Linked DNA regions of Saccharomyces cerevisiae S288C. The gene in region 1 interacts genetically with each later gene. Each region holds a gene or a part of one and is shown in the gene's direction. Other genes may lie near its edges.

Region 1 (3,200 bases):
ATATGATTTTGTTCAAGCCATGTCAACCTCATTTATGGTACCATCTTATTCGGCTTTATCAAAATAGTATATAGGCATATACATGAAATATTTTTTTCTTTTTCTAAAAAACCTACATGTTTAATGTGAGATATTACGTAAATCAGTTGGACGTATCATATTTCCTCACTAATTCATCGAATTTTGCGTCAATTTCTTGGTGATGCTTGATGAATGCATGTTCGTGATCCAATTTAACCAATTGATTTGTTAAATCTTCAGTATCAAGACCTTGCATAAGAGCAAGCGTAATTTGGTTTGCTAAGAAAGTAGGTTTGTACAATACGGCGTTTTCTTTTTGTTCGACGCTATAGTAGTCAGATAGTAATAGCTCGACAATACCCTGAGCTTCAGCTATGTTTCTTTGCTGTAAATGCAAATTGAGCAATCCCAATTGAGTTTTCCAAGTAGGAAAGGTTTGAGATAGCTCTTCATAGTAGTAAAAGTTGGATGTTGCCGTTTCTTTGTTTGTGGCAAATTTAATGTACGATTCAGCCAGGTTTAAAATCATTTCGTTGTCACCGGAAACAGTATCCTCAATAGCATTAGTGTAGTTATCAAAGATGGTGGACGCGGTCGAAACGTTGTTGTTTAACAAAGCGACTTCGATGGCAAGCAGCAATAATTCTGTAGTCCCTTCTGCTTCGTCATTGTCAATCCCTTCTACACATGTCTCCAAACTTTTATCTAAGTCACCCAAGATAGCTTGAGCCGTGGCTAACAGATATAATTCATATGGTGAATTCTGTTTATCCTTTAACAAATTTTCTAATTCTTCAATGTTTTTTGTATCTAAGAACTGGACGTACAAGTCTAGTACCTTGCCAAGCTTAGAGGTAGGATCTTGTGATTGATATTGGCCTAGAGCTAAAAGGGTTTTCGCCTTGTAGAATAATAAGGTGTTATCTGTGACCTTGCTAAACTTCTCTATTTCCTGCAAACATTGCACGAAGTTCCCCGTGTAGTAATTCTGCTTGATATTAAAGTAATCCATGATTTTTTGTCTGTTTCTATGTTCTCCACCGAGTTCTTCACAATCCGTTCTTATACTGTAGCTTGACGTGTTTTTCTGTAGAAACTGTAGTTTTTCGCTTGACAAAAAACTGAAAAAGAACCAACAAAAAATTAAGATCACCTTAAAAATTAAAAATAGAATATCTTTATCCCATTGAAGACGCTGCATACGCACCTATACAGCAAGACAAAAGATTTTATACAACATTACGGTTCCAATTGAATGTAATGTTACTATATAGTGTGGACACTAAAGAGTGAGATCAGCGGGCGTCCTGATCGTTGCGTTGGAGCCATCTCCTGAATTCCATTTTAGCAACTATTGTTCCGGTATAACCTCTTTTGCAGCCTAGAATGTTGTGAGTACTAAGACAGATACCATTTCACCAGCTTGTGGCTCCCAATTCTTTGACATCAGCAGCACGCTGCTACAGTCGATCTTTGACGAGACGAATTTTAATAGCTAGCGTAACAATCCGTAACAGGAAATTTCGTTCATAGTTACTTGTTTATACATTATTTCCTTCTTTTTCTGTGTTTTTATTTCCGCGGGTGTAAGTCAAGCAAGGGTGAAAGCCTTATGAGCTAATGCTACTTTGACGCAGAACAGAACTTTTTATGTGTCAATGCTTAATATGATTTTCGTTTTAAGGAGCAGCCTAATTTCAAGCGTAGAACAAGGTGATGTTGGGAAAAGAAGAAGAACAGCAATATGGCCAGAATGGTAAGGGAATGGAAAATGAACTACCCTTTATGAAGAGGCCTTGGTTTAAAAAGGCTTATGAAAATGCTATTGAATTTCATGAAAAAGACGAATTGCTGGATGCAAGAGACAGGCTGGAGTTATCGAAGGCCTATAGATCCATTGCTAAAGCTGAGATGTGGGGTGGTTGGCTTGGGTTTTCAGCTGTATTTTTAACTCCATTTGCCTATCGTTACTACAAGACCAAGGCTATTAAAGGTGTTAAGGTGCCGAGGAATTTTGTCTTGGGTGTAATGGCTTTATTTTTTGCTACAAATTTTGCTGGTAGGTCCATGTATACACGACAGTTGAACGAACGTGACCCCACAGGTGTTTTGAAGGATAACTATTCCAACAAATATGGTGACAACGACTTTGGAGCCTTTCAACATGATCAAACAAAAGAAATTCCGAGAAATCAAAGGCAGTACAATATGATGCGCTTATTAGATTCAGGCTCCCCCTCAAGGTGGTCGATGTACTTTTACATAACGTACCAAAATCCGGAGAGAAGATTGCCAGACCCGAAAGTCAAACTGCAGCAAATGAAAAAAGGCGGAGTTTTTAACGGCTCGCCCTTTATGAACCAAAGGGATCCTATAGGATTGTATCGTAATAAGGGTAGAAAATCTCCTGACCCAATTGAAGGAGAGCAAAACGACAGTCCTGTTCTGTCTTCCTGGGAAAAAATCAGGAACGGCGACAACAGTTCGTCTTCATCATGGGAAAATATAAGGAACACCAGTAGAGATCAGTCGCAGGAATCAGATGCTTCAGTGGATCATGAATCCGATATATTTATCTCAGGATTTTCTGACGATGGTAATGCTACCGATAATTCCTCTTCTGATGACAAATATCAGCGTTTACTGCAGAGCGGGAGATATGGTGGGAACCGCTCCTAGACGACGGAGTAATAATAGCGTATGGTCACTAATTTGTATATAGGTATATGTTTGGGCCAAATTCGGCGGGTTCCTGAATTTGTTTTTATATATTCGTAACTTAAACACTGCCGGTGAACACCATCTGCATACCAAATTGCTTTCTTCCATATTGAATTCGCGCACATCTTATCGAAGGAAAAAAAAAGAAGAAATAGTTAATAGAGGTAAGATTCCTTCATCATACTCATTTTATTCTTTACAAAACATAAATTAAATAAGTCAAAATTTAACTACATAAAATCTCATTAAGCTAAGACGTTGTCACCTCTCTTTTCATCTTTCAAGTTACGCAACTGTTTCAAAACTTCTTCAACAGAAACAGTAGCATTTTTACCCTGTTGTTCCATAACGTCTCTGTTTCTAATGTTAACAGATTTTTCATTCATTTCTTGTTCACCAACAATAAAAATGAAGTTATATTTTAGCATTTGCCCGTTTCTGACCTTCTTTTGCAGAGT
Region 2 (6,521 bases), on another chromosome or scaffold:
ATAAAATTATTAGTACTAATTCCAGTATAAATAACAATGTTATTTACGTCTCTTTCGAAAATGCTCGTGTAGCTCAGTGGTTAGAGCTTCGTGCTTATAGCAACATTCGGTTTCCGAAGTTTCTGTGCCAAAGACCTTTCAAACAGGCCTTTAAAAGCAACGCGACCGTCGTGGGTTCAAACCCCACCTCGAGCACTTTCTCTTTTTTTTTCACACGCGTTTGCAACATGCCCGTATTACATGAGCTTATTTGACTTTAGATGGTTTTCAGTTCTTTTTTTTTTTTTTTTTTTTTTCAGTAGATTAATGCGAAGAGTTAAATCACCAATTCAAAGATGGCAGATGGACCACCTTGTGGGATAAGTATAAAAATAACTAAAAGTGGTCTTGTGTTAAAAATAGAATAGAAACCACTCATAAGGCAAAAGATGGCTGGAAAAAAGGGACAAAAGAAAAGTGGACTAGGCAACCATGGAAAGAACTCTGATATGGATGTTGAAGATCGTCTCCAGGCCGTTGTCTTGACAGACTCTTATGAAACTAGGTTTATGCCACTGACAGCTGTCAAGCCAAGGTGTTTGCTGCCACTGGCTAACGTACCTCTCATTGAATACACCTTAGAATTTTTGGCTAAGGCTGGCGTACATGAAGTTTTCTTAATTTGCTCTTCTCATGCCAACCAAATTAATGACTATATTGAGAATTCTAAGTGGAACTTGCCTTGGTCTCCATTTAAAATTACCACCATTATGTCTCCAGAAGCTAGATGTACGGGTGATGTTATGAGAGATCTAGATAATAGAGGTATCATTACTGGAGATTTTATTTTAGTCAGTGGTGATGTATTGACTAACATCGATTTCAGCAAAATGCTAGAATTTCACAAAAAAATGCATTTGCAAGATAAAGATCACATCTCGACAATGTGTTTGAGCAAAGCGAGTACCTATCCAAAAACAAGAACTATTGAGCCTGCCGCATTTGTCTTAGACAAATCCACCAGTAGGTGTATTTATTACCAAGATTTACCATTACCAAGCTCTAGAGAGAAGACTTCCATTCAGATTGACCCAGAATTGTTGGATAATGTCGATGAATTTGTCATAAGGAATGACCTCATCGATTGTAGAATTGACATTTGTACATCTCATGTACCTTTGATATTTCAAGAAAATTTTGACTACCAATCATTAAGGACAGACTTTGTTAAAGGTGTCATTTCAAGCGATATATTGGGAAAGCATATATATGCCTATTTGACGGACGAATATGCTGTAAGAGTTGAAAGTTGGCAAACTTACGACACCATTTCTCAAGACTTTTTAGGTAGATGGTGTTATCCCTTGGTCTTAGACTCTAACATACAGGACGATCAAACGTATTCTTATGAATCAAGACATATATACAAGGAAAAAGACGTTGTTTTGGCCCAATCCTGTAAAATTGGTAAGTGCACTGCAATTGGATCAGGAACAAAAATCGGAGAGGGTACGAAAATTGAGAATTCCGTGATTGGAAGGAACTGCCAAATCGGTGAAAATATTAGAATCAAGAACAGTTTCATTTGGGATGACTGTATCATCGGAAATAACAGTATAATTGACCATTCATTAATTGCCTCTAATGCCACGTTAGGGAGTAATGTACGCCTAAATGATGGCTGTATAATTGGTTTCAACGTTAAAATTGATGATAATATGGATTTAGATAGAAACACAAAAATATCTGCCAGTCCATTAAAAAATGCCGGCTCAAGAATGTATGATAATGAAAGCAATGAGCAGTTTGACCAAGACCTTGATGATCAGACACTAGCCGTTTCTATTGTTGGAGATAAGGGTGTTGGTTATATTTACGAAAGCGAGGTGTCTGACGATGAAGATAGTTCTACAGAAGCCTGCAAAGAAATAAACACTTTGAGTAACCAATTAGATGAGTTATACTTAAGTGACGATTCAATTTCTTCCGCCACTAAAAAGACAAAGAAAAGAAGAACGATGTCTGTCAATAGTATATACACGGATAGAGAAGAAATTGATTCTGAATTTGAGGACGAAGATTTTGAGAAAGAAGGTATTGCCACCGTGGAGCGTGCTATGGAAAACAATCATGATCTTGACACAGCATTATTAGAATTGAACACCTTGAGAATGAGTATGAACGTGACATATCATGAGGTGAGAATAGCAACAATAACTGCATTATTGAGAAGAGTTTACCACTTTATTGCAACTCAAACATTAGGTCCCAAGGACGCTGTGGTGAAGGTTTTTAATCAGTGGGGACTGTTGTTCAAGAGACAAGCCTTTGATGAAGAAGAGTATATTGATTTGATGAACATCATAATGGAAAAAATTGTAGAACAGAGTTTTGACAAACCGGATTTGATTCTATTTAGTGCATTGGTTTCTCTATACGATAATGACATAATTGAGGAGGATGTCATTTATAAATGGTGGGATAATGTTTCTACTGACCCTCGCTATGATGAAGTCAAGAAATTAACTGTAAAGTGGGTTGAGTGGTTACAGAATGCTGACGAAGAATCTTCCTCAGAAGAGGAATAAAAGTCCACGCAGTACCCTGCATAATCATGTATTACCATAAAAAGGCTTTAATATGAGAAAAAGGTGAGCGCTATATAGATTTAGTAATTTACATGTTACAGAAGCAAAAAGCAAATATATATATATTTTTTATCATATTAGTTTTTATCCTCAGTAGTACTACTGAAATAATAATCTCAGATTTTTTTTTTTCACTTGCCGAGGGACCTTGTCCTAAGTGGCAAAGAACTGAAAAAAAAAAAAATTGAAATGCGGTGGTATCACATGAAGAGTAAATAACTTAAGCAAAAGAGAGGCCACTGAGAGAGTACAAGAAAGGGACAATAACAATAGACAGAAGACTTTTATATTTGTAATAACTTAGCGATGTCCCAATTATTCAATAACTCGCGCTCAGATACCCTTTTCCTAGGAGGTGAAAAAATAAGTGGTGATGATATTCGTAATCAGAATGTTTTGGCTACTATGGCTGTGGCTAACGTCGTCAAGTCATCTTTAGGCCCCGTTGGACTGGACAAAATGCTTGTTGATGACATTGGTGATTTTACCGTCACCAACGATGGTGCCACTATTTTGTCTTTGTTAGATGTTCAACATCCAGCTGGAAAAATTTTAGTAGAATTGGCTCAACAACAGGACAGAGAAATTGGTGACGGTACTACTAGTGTTGTTATTATTGCTTCTGAGTTGTTGAAAAGAGCTAATGAATTAGTCAAAAATAAGATTCATCCAACTACCATCATAACTGGTTTCAGGGTTGCATTAAGAGAGGCTATTCGTTTTATAAATGAAGTTCTTTCCACAAGTGTTGACACTTTAGGGAAAGAGACGTTAATTAATATAGCCAAGACTAGTATGTCCTCTAAGATCATTGGTGCTGACTCTGATTTTTTCAGCAATATGGTTGTAGATGCTCTTTTGGCTGTTAAGACGCAAAATTCCAAAGGAGAAATCAAGTATCCCGTAAAGGCTGTCAATGTGTTGAAAGCTCATGGTAAATCTGCCACTGAATCACTGTTGGTGCCAGGTTATGCTTTGAATTGTACAGTTGCTTCTCAAGCAATGCCTAAACGTATCGCCGGTGGCAATGTGAAAATCGCATGTTTGGATTTGAACTTGCAGAAAGCTCGTATGGCAATGGGTGTTCAAATCAACATTGATGATCCGGAACAATTGGAGCAAATCCGTAAACGTGAAGCTGGTATTGTTTTGGAAAGAGTGAAGAAGATCATTGATGCTGGTGCTCAAGTTGTGTTAACCACCAAAGGTATTGATGATTTATGCTTAAAGGAGTTCGTTGAAGCTAAGATAATGGGTGTAAGACGCTGTAAGAAGGAAGATTTGAGAAGAATTGCACGCGCTACAGGCGCCACTTTGGTTAGTTCTATGTCTAACTTAGAAGGTGAGGAAACTTTCGAAAGCAGTTATTTAGGTCTTTGTGATGAAGTAGTTCAAGCCAAATTTTCTGATGATGAGTGTATCTTAATTAAGGGTACTTCTAAACATTCATCTTCTTCGATCATTTTAAGAGGTGCCAACGATTATTCTTTAGATGAGATGGAACGTTCTTTGCACGATTCTCTTTCTGTTGTCAAAAGAACGCTTGAAAGTGGAAATGTTGTCCCCGGTGGAGGTTGCGTTGAAGCCGCATTGAATATCTATTTGGACAATTTTGCCACCACAGTTGGTTCTCGTGAACAGTTAGCTATTGCTGAGTTTGCAGCTGCATTATTAATCATTCCAAAAACTTTAGCTGTTAACGCTGCCAAGGATTCTAGTGAATTAGTTGCAAAATTAAGGTCCTACCATGCCGCTAGTCAAATGGCCAAGCCAGAGGACGTTAAGAGGAGAAGCTACAGAAATTACGGCCTAGATTTGATTAGAGGTAAAATTGTGGACGAGATTCACGCTGGTGTTCTTGAGCCAACCATAAGCAAAGTCAAATCCTTGAAATCAGCATTGGAGGCTTGTGTAGCAATTCTAAGAATTGATACAATGATTACAGTGGATCCAGAACCACCCAAAGAAGATCCGCACGATCATTGATTCTTTGCGTAATCCGAACGAGATTCTGTATCTGCATGTAAACTAATAAACCTATATAAAATTTAATTATATTTTTTTCAGCTAGTTCTATTTTTGAATTTGATCGCTAACTCTGGGCAGTTGATAAGCGCTTCCCAGCTTTTCACGTGCGAGGTGGACTAATACGTAATAACGCGTACCTATTAGGACTTCGTTGAGTTGTTTTTCTTGTCCAAATGCAGAAGCGGGTCCCTACAAACTATTGTGTTTGTTCGTAAACGAGCAGGAACCCTGTTAAAGGAAAAAAGCTTAACGCTAGCGTTACATTTTAGTAAGGCGGCAATAAAAAAGAATGCGGAGTGTATTCCATGAATTCAATTGCGCTTACTGCTAAGCCTGTTTCTAAACATGATCCCCAGGGTGAATATCTCCCATAGTGGCTGTGTTATTCTGTCTAAATGTGGCAGCTAAATAAGGTTTTTTCCAAGCTATTTTTTTCTCTAAACGAGCGCACCTTAGCGGGATCGCGTCAAATTTTCGCCCAACGAATATTATTCTATTGTCTTCAGTGAATGTGCTTGTCGAAATCTATATATGCGCCGCCCTGGCAGGATCAGCAAATACAAGTTACTTGGAAAGTCGCGGCATAGAAAGTAGACACTTCTTTTGTCAAAGATTGATATTGCTTTCAGGGTGCGATAGTGCTGACTGTTCCTCTAAACAGCGATTTTTTACATACATTAACTTTTTGAAGTTGTAGGAACTATCTTTTCTCATTTATCCAACACTAAAACAAAATTGAGCTTTCCAGAAATAGTGAATCAAAAAAAGTTAAGTACAAATATTTACAGTTCAGCAGTATGAGCGAAGTCGGTATACAGAATCACAAGAAAGCGGTGACAAAACCCAGAAGAAGAGAAAAAGTCATCGAGCTAATTGAAGTGGACGGCAAAAAGGTGAGTACGACTTCAACCGGTAAACGTAAATTCCATAACAAATCAAAGAATGGGTGCGATAACTGTAAAAGAAGAAGAGTTAAGTGTGATGAAGGGAAGCCAGCCTGTAGGAAGTGCACAAATATGAAGTTGGAATGTCAGTATACACCAATCCATTTAAGGAAAGGTAGAGGAGCAACAGTAGTGAAGTATGTCACGAGAAAGGCAGACGGTAGCGTGGAGTCTGATTCATCGGTAGATTTACCTCCTACGATCAAGAAGGAGCAGACACCGTTCAATGATATCCAATCAGCGGTAAAAGCTTCAGGCTCATCCAATGATTCCTTTCCATCAAGCGCCTCTACAACTAAGAGTGAGAGCGAGGAAAAGTCATCGGCCCCTATAGAGGACAAAAACAATATGACTCCTCTAAGTATGGGCCTCCAGGGTACCATCAATAAGAAAGATATGATGAATAACTTTTTCTCTCAAAATGGCACTATTGGTTTTGGTTCTCCTGAAAGATTGAATTCAGGTATCGATGGCTTACTATTACCGCCATTGCCTTCTGGAAATATGGGTGCGTTCCAACTTCAGCAACAGCAGCAAGTGCAGCAGCAATCTCAACCACAGACCCAAGCGCAGCAAGCAAGTGGAACTCCAAACGAGAGATATGGTTCATTCGATCTTGCGGGTAGTCCTGCATTGCAATCCACGGGAATGAGCTTATCAAATAGTCTAAGCGGGATGTTACTATGTAACAGGATTCCTTCCGGCCAAAACTACACTCAACAACAATTACAATATCAATTACACCAGCAGCTGCAATTGCAACAGCATCAGCAAGTTCAGCTGCAGCAGTATCAACAATTACGTCAGGAACAACACCAACAAGTTCAGCAACAACAACAGGAACAACTCCAGCAATACCAACAACATTTTTTGCAACAGCAGCAACAAGTACTGCTTCAGCAAGAGCAACAACCTAACGATG
Region 3 (5,979 bases), on another chromosome or scaffold:
TTGTCTGCTTAAGAGGCGAAGCATTCAATGCGGTGTTTGTATACATAAACTTTTAGAACTCTCAAGAATCCGCATCAACGGAAAGCCAAGGCAAAAAAGAAAAAAAAGCAAATCAAATTCAAAATTACGTATGCAACTACGAAAATTTGGCTCCCAACATAATCTTAAGGGCCTTCGTCATCACTAACTGGTCCAAAAGAATATCGCAGATGCCGAAACTATCACCTTTTCATACGTTGAATTTTTGAGAAAATTAATCACTTACAAAGACTCCTCGAAATTACGGCAAGGACACCCCCTGAAGTGCACAGCCGCACAGCCGCACAAGTCGGATTTGGGAAGACGACAAAGAGGGGACTTCTAGAACAAAATTGCTCCCCAGCGTCTTTTAAGGGAGGGGGTTGCAATGCAAAAGCACCCTGTATATCATCAAATCTTGCATTACTACCCGCAGTTTGTACTATTTACAAGGACGTAAAAGTGGGATGAACGGATGGAAAGATGAGATCACTATTCCCTGTTTTCTGTCTCCGCTGTTATCCCCTGCTTTCGATATAAAAACATTAGCTAAATACCCTAACAACTTATATTATGTTAGAGATCCTATCTGTAATTCTTATCCGAAATTAGCCACTTTTCTAGGGTTTTCAAACAACCATAAACAATTACTTGTATTGCGATCACGATAAGCATTAAGTATAACCTCATATATTTCCGTTTCTAATAATCAATGTCCTACAAAAAGTTTGTGTACTTTATTAACCTTTTCTTTCTACTAGGGGCTACATTGTTGACTTTTTTTCTGATACTAGCAGGTGGCAGGACCACAGGAGTGTTGAAGAATTTTTATTGGTTTCAGGCATCCACTTCGGGCTTTAACTCGGCGCCCTCCGTAACCAGATGGTACAATTATAACTGGTGCGGCTGGGAAAGCCGCGGAATAGCAGTCAACTGCTCTTCTAAGATGGCAGCTCAGCCGTTTTCACCAAGGGACAACTTTGGCAGTTCCCCCCTCATGCCCTCAACTTTTTTAAACAACAGAAATGCCTACTATTATCTTTCAAGAGTGGGCTGGGCAATGCTTCTAATCGGGCTTTTCTTTTTGTTAATCACGTTAGTTTCGGTTATTGCCAGTTTAATCAGATACAATAGACGTACCGCCGCTCTGGCAACTGCAATGAGCTGGATCACGCTTTTCTTCATAACCCTATCCGCTTGTCTGTACACAGGATGTTACGCTAAGGCAGTAAAGGCGTTTCACCATGAGAATCGTGATGCTAGACTAGGTCCCAAGAATTTTGGGCTTATTTGGACCACAGTATTTTTGTTAATTGTAAACGCCATTTGCTGTACTATCATGGTGGCTACTCATAAAAGAAACGAGTACATCTATGACCGCAGTTTCGCTTCTACCAAGACAGTGGACTCACAAACTCCAACTCCAGTTCCAACAAATGGAGGAATACCTTCCTCGGTGCCTGTAACTGAGGTCCAACAATCTCAATCCCACCAGAATCATAGGTTCTTTAAGAAATTGAGAACGAAAAAGAGAACTGTGACTAGCGCAGGCGATGAACCAGACCGGGTTCAAGAGGAACGCGTCTATACTGAACAGAATGTTCCTGTTGTATCATAGGGTGCAAAGGAGGCTTTTTTTTCCCTTATTATTAAAGCTAGGATTACAAATAATAACAAACCTAATTGCAGCGATTAGCCTTCTCCTATTCTCTGTTGATACCAATTTTATTTATTACTAATATTTTGCACCGATATTCCACTAATCTTTTATGTTTCCCTAAATATAATATCTTTAATTCTCAACCTCTAATAATACTAATACTATACGTCAAACAATGTAATGATACCATCTAATAAAAAGAAATCGTATTTTAACTTCCTTTTAATGTATCATACACATCTTACTAACTCTTTTTCTTTTCTTTTCACTATTTCGACAGCAATGAATTAGACACAAACCAAGAGTCTTCTGCTACACAGCACGGCTTCGGCTACCATATTGACAAATCTTATGACAGGATGCTGGGTTTGGGCCAATCTGCTCAAGCATATGCAAGTGATGATGCTCTCAATATGAACCAGGCAAAGGATAAAACGTACAGCGTTCCAGGGTGTGGCAGGGCAAGCGACCTCAAATATCCTCATCGTGACGGACACTCTTCGTCTCACGAACAGCGCTCTGGAATTTTACCAACTGAATGCCCAGGCCCTACTTTAAACACCGGTGCCGGTAGCATCGGTATCCCGGGATGTGGCAAAGTCACAAATAGAGTGGTCAGTGACTATAACAAAAACGCTAGGTCTACGCTAGCCAATTTTGATAGTAGTAAAATGACCGAGGCAAGAATGAACAGCAAGAACGTGCCGATTGGTTGTCAAGACACCTCTGATCCGCACTTCAATGGGCCTATCGACCAACATGTTCCCGGTGCAGGTTCACCTCAAAGTCAACCTCATCACATCGACGCGTGGAACAGCGTTTCTTCTCGCCGTGCCGATAATAACAACCAAGACATGATGGACCCCCAAACGGCTTCCTCAGACAGGTACAATGAGAAAATGATGAGAGAAGAAAATAGCGGCGTCTCTGCTTCTTCTTACACCACTAAAGTGCAGGGATATCCCGCAAGTATTCCATCATTCAATCAGGAAACTGAGGAAAAGGAAACCTACGCCTACGGTGTGGGTGATCGGCACAATGTCCCAAGAAACCAAATTATGGATGAGACTAATCCTTCGGCTAACGTTCTAAACGCTACTGATCATAGTATTTCGCACCCTGAGAATAAGGTCTTGCATAAGTAGTTTTTGTTTTTCCTACAGTTTTTATTTATAACCAACCTTATACTTTTATATCCTTGTCTACATATTATTGTCATAACGAATTTTTTATTGGTTAAATGCAGCTATTGCGTTCTCTTTATTGCATAAATATATTCTATTACAATATGGGAGGGCATTATCAGCCTCCATGTGCTTGCGTGCTGTCAAAGAAGGAGTGCGGGGATGACAATATGAATAGCCGCCGAAATTATGCCCGGCTGCAGTTGACCGTATAAATAACAGTGCTTCAATGAAAGGACACAAAAAGCAAGATCGTCCCATTTTCTACCTTAATCAGTATAGTAAAAATCAAAAACATAATATATTACTGTTATGATGAATAAAGTAGATCAAATCATCGGTTACAAAAAGTACGAAGTGAAACTACCAAAAGATCGACAAGTAAAGAAAAATAAATCAAAAGGTGGAAATGTTGATCAAATAGATACTAAGAGGGAAAAGGATAAAATGAGAGCTTTTGGTGAAGAAAGGAAAAAGTTCTTAGATAAAATGGCTAAAAACAAAAAAAAAAATACAAGTAGAAAAGATAGAGAGAAGCCAAAAGAAGTAGAAAAAGAAAACTACAAAAGAGAAGACAAAAGGCTAAAAGAACAGAAAAAATTATCACTGGCAAAAGAATTTCGTTTCAAAGAACCGAATTCAGAAGCCATTAATCAGAACACAGCAGCTGAAAATGGTAAACCTAAACCACAGACTGGACTAGATTTTGACATAGACCATCAAACCGTGTCCAAGATCATGATAGATCAGGCTATTCAAACATCTAGTCCTCTTAATGTCCAACTCACGGAACTTTTCAATGATAACGTCCTCGACGTCTCGAAAGATAGTCAGTTTGTCCTTCAAGACATGGAGTTCACCTCCTGGGAACGACGCTGGTCAAACTGCAGCACGACCAGTAATGCGACTACGGTCTCATCAGTTCCTGATCCCAAATATAATATCAACTACAACGACATAACCTCCTTCAATTCAGTAGCGCTAATTACCGAAGATCTTAACATATCTGCATCATCTAATGGTCTGCATGAGAGAGGTAAAAAGCTACTGCAGCAAGAGATGGAATACTCAAACAAGGTCAAAAATGTCACCATCGGGCTTGAAAGATTGTGTATGGATGAAAAACCAGTCCCAGATGCAGGAATAACCATGCAACAAGCGTCGCGCTGGTCAGAATTCCCCACTTGTTGCGATCAAGCTGCTATTTAGCTTTTCTAATTTAAAAAATTTATAAACTTCTTATAGTATTTCATCTTTATATCAAATACTATTAGCAAAATAAAAGGAAAGGAAAGGGAAAGGAACTTCTTTAGACTGCTTCGCACTGATTCTATCGCCATCCTTCTTCATGTTCTCAACTATTGGATATCTGCTCTATTTAGAACAATCGTTATTGTTACCCGCGTTAAATGGGGTAACTGATTGCTGCTTTTTTTTCTCGTTGTTTTGGACCTTTTCGGACATGAGAGGTCAAAAGAAAAAACAAACACGACCAAGTAAGCCGGAATAAACAAGTATAACCACCTGATTGAATTGCCTTCTTTAAACAAGCACAGACCTCCAAAAAGAAAAGGCTTTTGAAACGCTGCTCACGCACAGTTGTTTATTCCGTCCACATATTTTACGTGTCAGTTTCCTTTCTGTCTTCTCTTTATTCAATCAATTAGCATTAAAGAGAAAATAAGTCGTGTACTTTGAAAACCTTCTGTTCCTGTTTTCTTCCCGTATTTTTCATTTGCTTCACCAGCTTTTTCTCAACTGATCATATCATTTCAAGTTAAAAGTCTTTGTCATCACTTTTCTGTGAGTTGCAAATATTTGTAAGCGTCACTTACCTAGAGCAGCCTTTATCGATCAATATTTCAGAGGGAAAAACCTGTATCTCTTAGCATGCAAAGTTCAGTTTATTTTGACCAAACAGGGTCATTTGCGTCCAGTAGCGACAACGTTGTGTCTAGTACCACCAACACACACAACATTTCTCCCAGTCATCGTTCCAGTTTGAATCTGAACACTACTTCTCATCCCCACGAAGCGTCGGGTAGAGGAAGCGCAAGTGGGGAGTTGTATTTGAATGACACAAACTCACCCTTAGCGATATCTTCTATGCTAAACACACTTGCCCTTGGAAGTATGCCCCAAGACATTGCAAGCAGCAACATTAGCAATCACGATAACAACATTAAGGGGAGCTACAGCCTAAAATTGTCAAATGTAGCCAAGGATATTACTCTCAGAGAATGCTATGCAATCTTCGCTCTTGCTGAAGGTGTGAAAAGTATAGAATTACAGAAAAAAAACTCTTCATCAAGCATCACTTCTGCCTCATTAGAAGACGAGAATGATATTTTTATCATTGCCAGATTTGAGTTATTGAATCTAGCTATTAATTATGCCGTTATTTTGAATTCGAAAAATGAACTCTTTGGACCCAGTTTTCCCAATAAAACAACCGTTGAAATAATAGATGACACAACAAAAAACTTGGTTTCATTCCCATCATCTGCCATTTTCAATGACACCTCAAGATTGAATAAATCGAACTCGGGAATGAAAAGGCCAAGTCTGTTATCACAAAGATCCAGGTTTTCATTCAGCGATCCATTTTCCAATGATTCTCCTTTAAGCCAACAGCAATCTCAACAGCAGCAGCAACAGCCACAACAGCCACAACAACACTCTACGCAAAAACATTCACCACAACAATGTAATCAACAACAAGTGAATTCTTCAATACCGTTATCTTCTCAAGGCCAGGTTATTGGGTTACATTCTAACCATTCACATCAAGATTTGTCTGTGGAATCAACAATTCAAACATCTGATATTGGCAAATCTTTCCTTTTGAGAGATAACACTGAAATTAATGAAAAGATATGGGGCACAAGCGGTATACCTTCCAGCATCAACGGTTACATGAGCACTCCCCAACCTTCTACGCCAACTTTAGAATGGGGAAATACTTCTGCATCCCAACATGGTTCTTCGTTCTTTTTACCCTCTGCAGCATCGACAGCCATTGCACCTACGAATAGCAACACCAGTGCCAATGCAAACGCCAGCTCCAACAATGGAGCCAGCAATAATGGTGCTAACCAGGCACTCTCTGCCAGCTCG

Evidence for each region. Genes that interact genetically often act in the same process or in processes that back each other up.
Region 2: mutations in RCI37 (region 1) and TCP1 together harm fitness more than expected from each alone (negative genetic interaction), as found in Saccharomyces cerevisiae (2 studies listed by BioGRID).
Region 3: mutations in RCI37 (region 1) and SLZ1 together harm fitness more than expected from each alone (negative genetic interaction), as found in Saccharomyces cerevisiae (one large-scale study listed by BioGRID).

Annotation. Positions count from the first base shown.
Region 1 is NC_001141.2:214,491-217,690, reverse strand, and holds RCI37 (Rci37p), read left to right. Parts: upstream 1-1,737; coding exon 1,738-2,700; downstream 2,701-3,200. Other genes in the region: SEC28 (coatomer subunit epsilon), read right to left, coding at 143-1,033; threonine--tRNA ligase THS1, read right to left, coding at 2,988-3,200.
Region 2 is NC_001136.10:884,299-890,819, forward strand, and holds TCP1 (chaperonin-containing T-complex alpha subunit TCP1), read left to right. Parts: upstream 1-2,933; coding exon 2,934-4,613; downstream 4,614-6,521. Other genes in the region: GCD6 (translation initiation factor eIF2B catalytic subunit epsilon), read left to right, coding at 429-2,567; UPC2 (Upc2p), read left to right, coding at 5,453-6,521. UniProt on the Saccharomyces cerevisiae protein: Molecular chaperone; assists the folding of proteins upon ATP hydrolysis. Known to play a role, in vitro, in the folding of actin and tubulin. In yeast may play a role in mitotic spindle formation.
Region 3 is NC_001146.8:268,367-274,345, reverse strand, and holds SLZ1 (Slz1p), read left to right. Parts: upstream 1-3,174; coding exon 3,175-4,071; downstream 4,072-5,979. Other genes in the region: YNL194C (uncharacterized protein), read left to right, coding at 731-1,636; YNL195C (uncharacterized protein), read left to right, coding at 2,038-2,823; mRNA-binding protein WHI3, read left to right, coding at 4,753-5,979.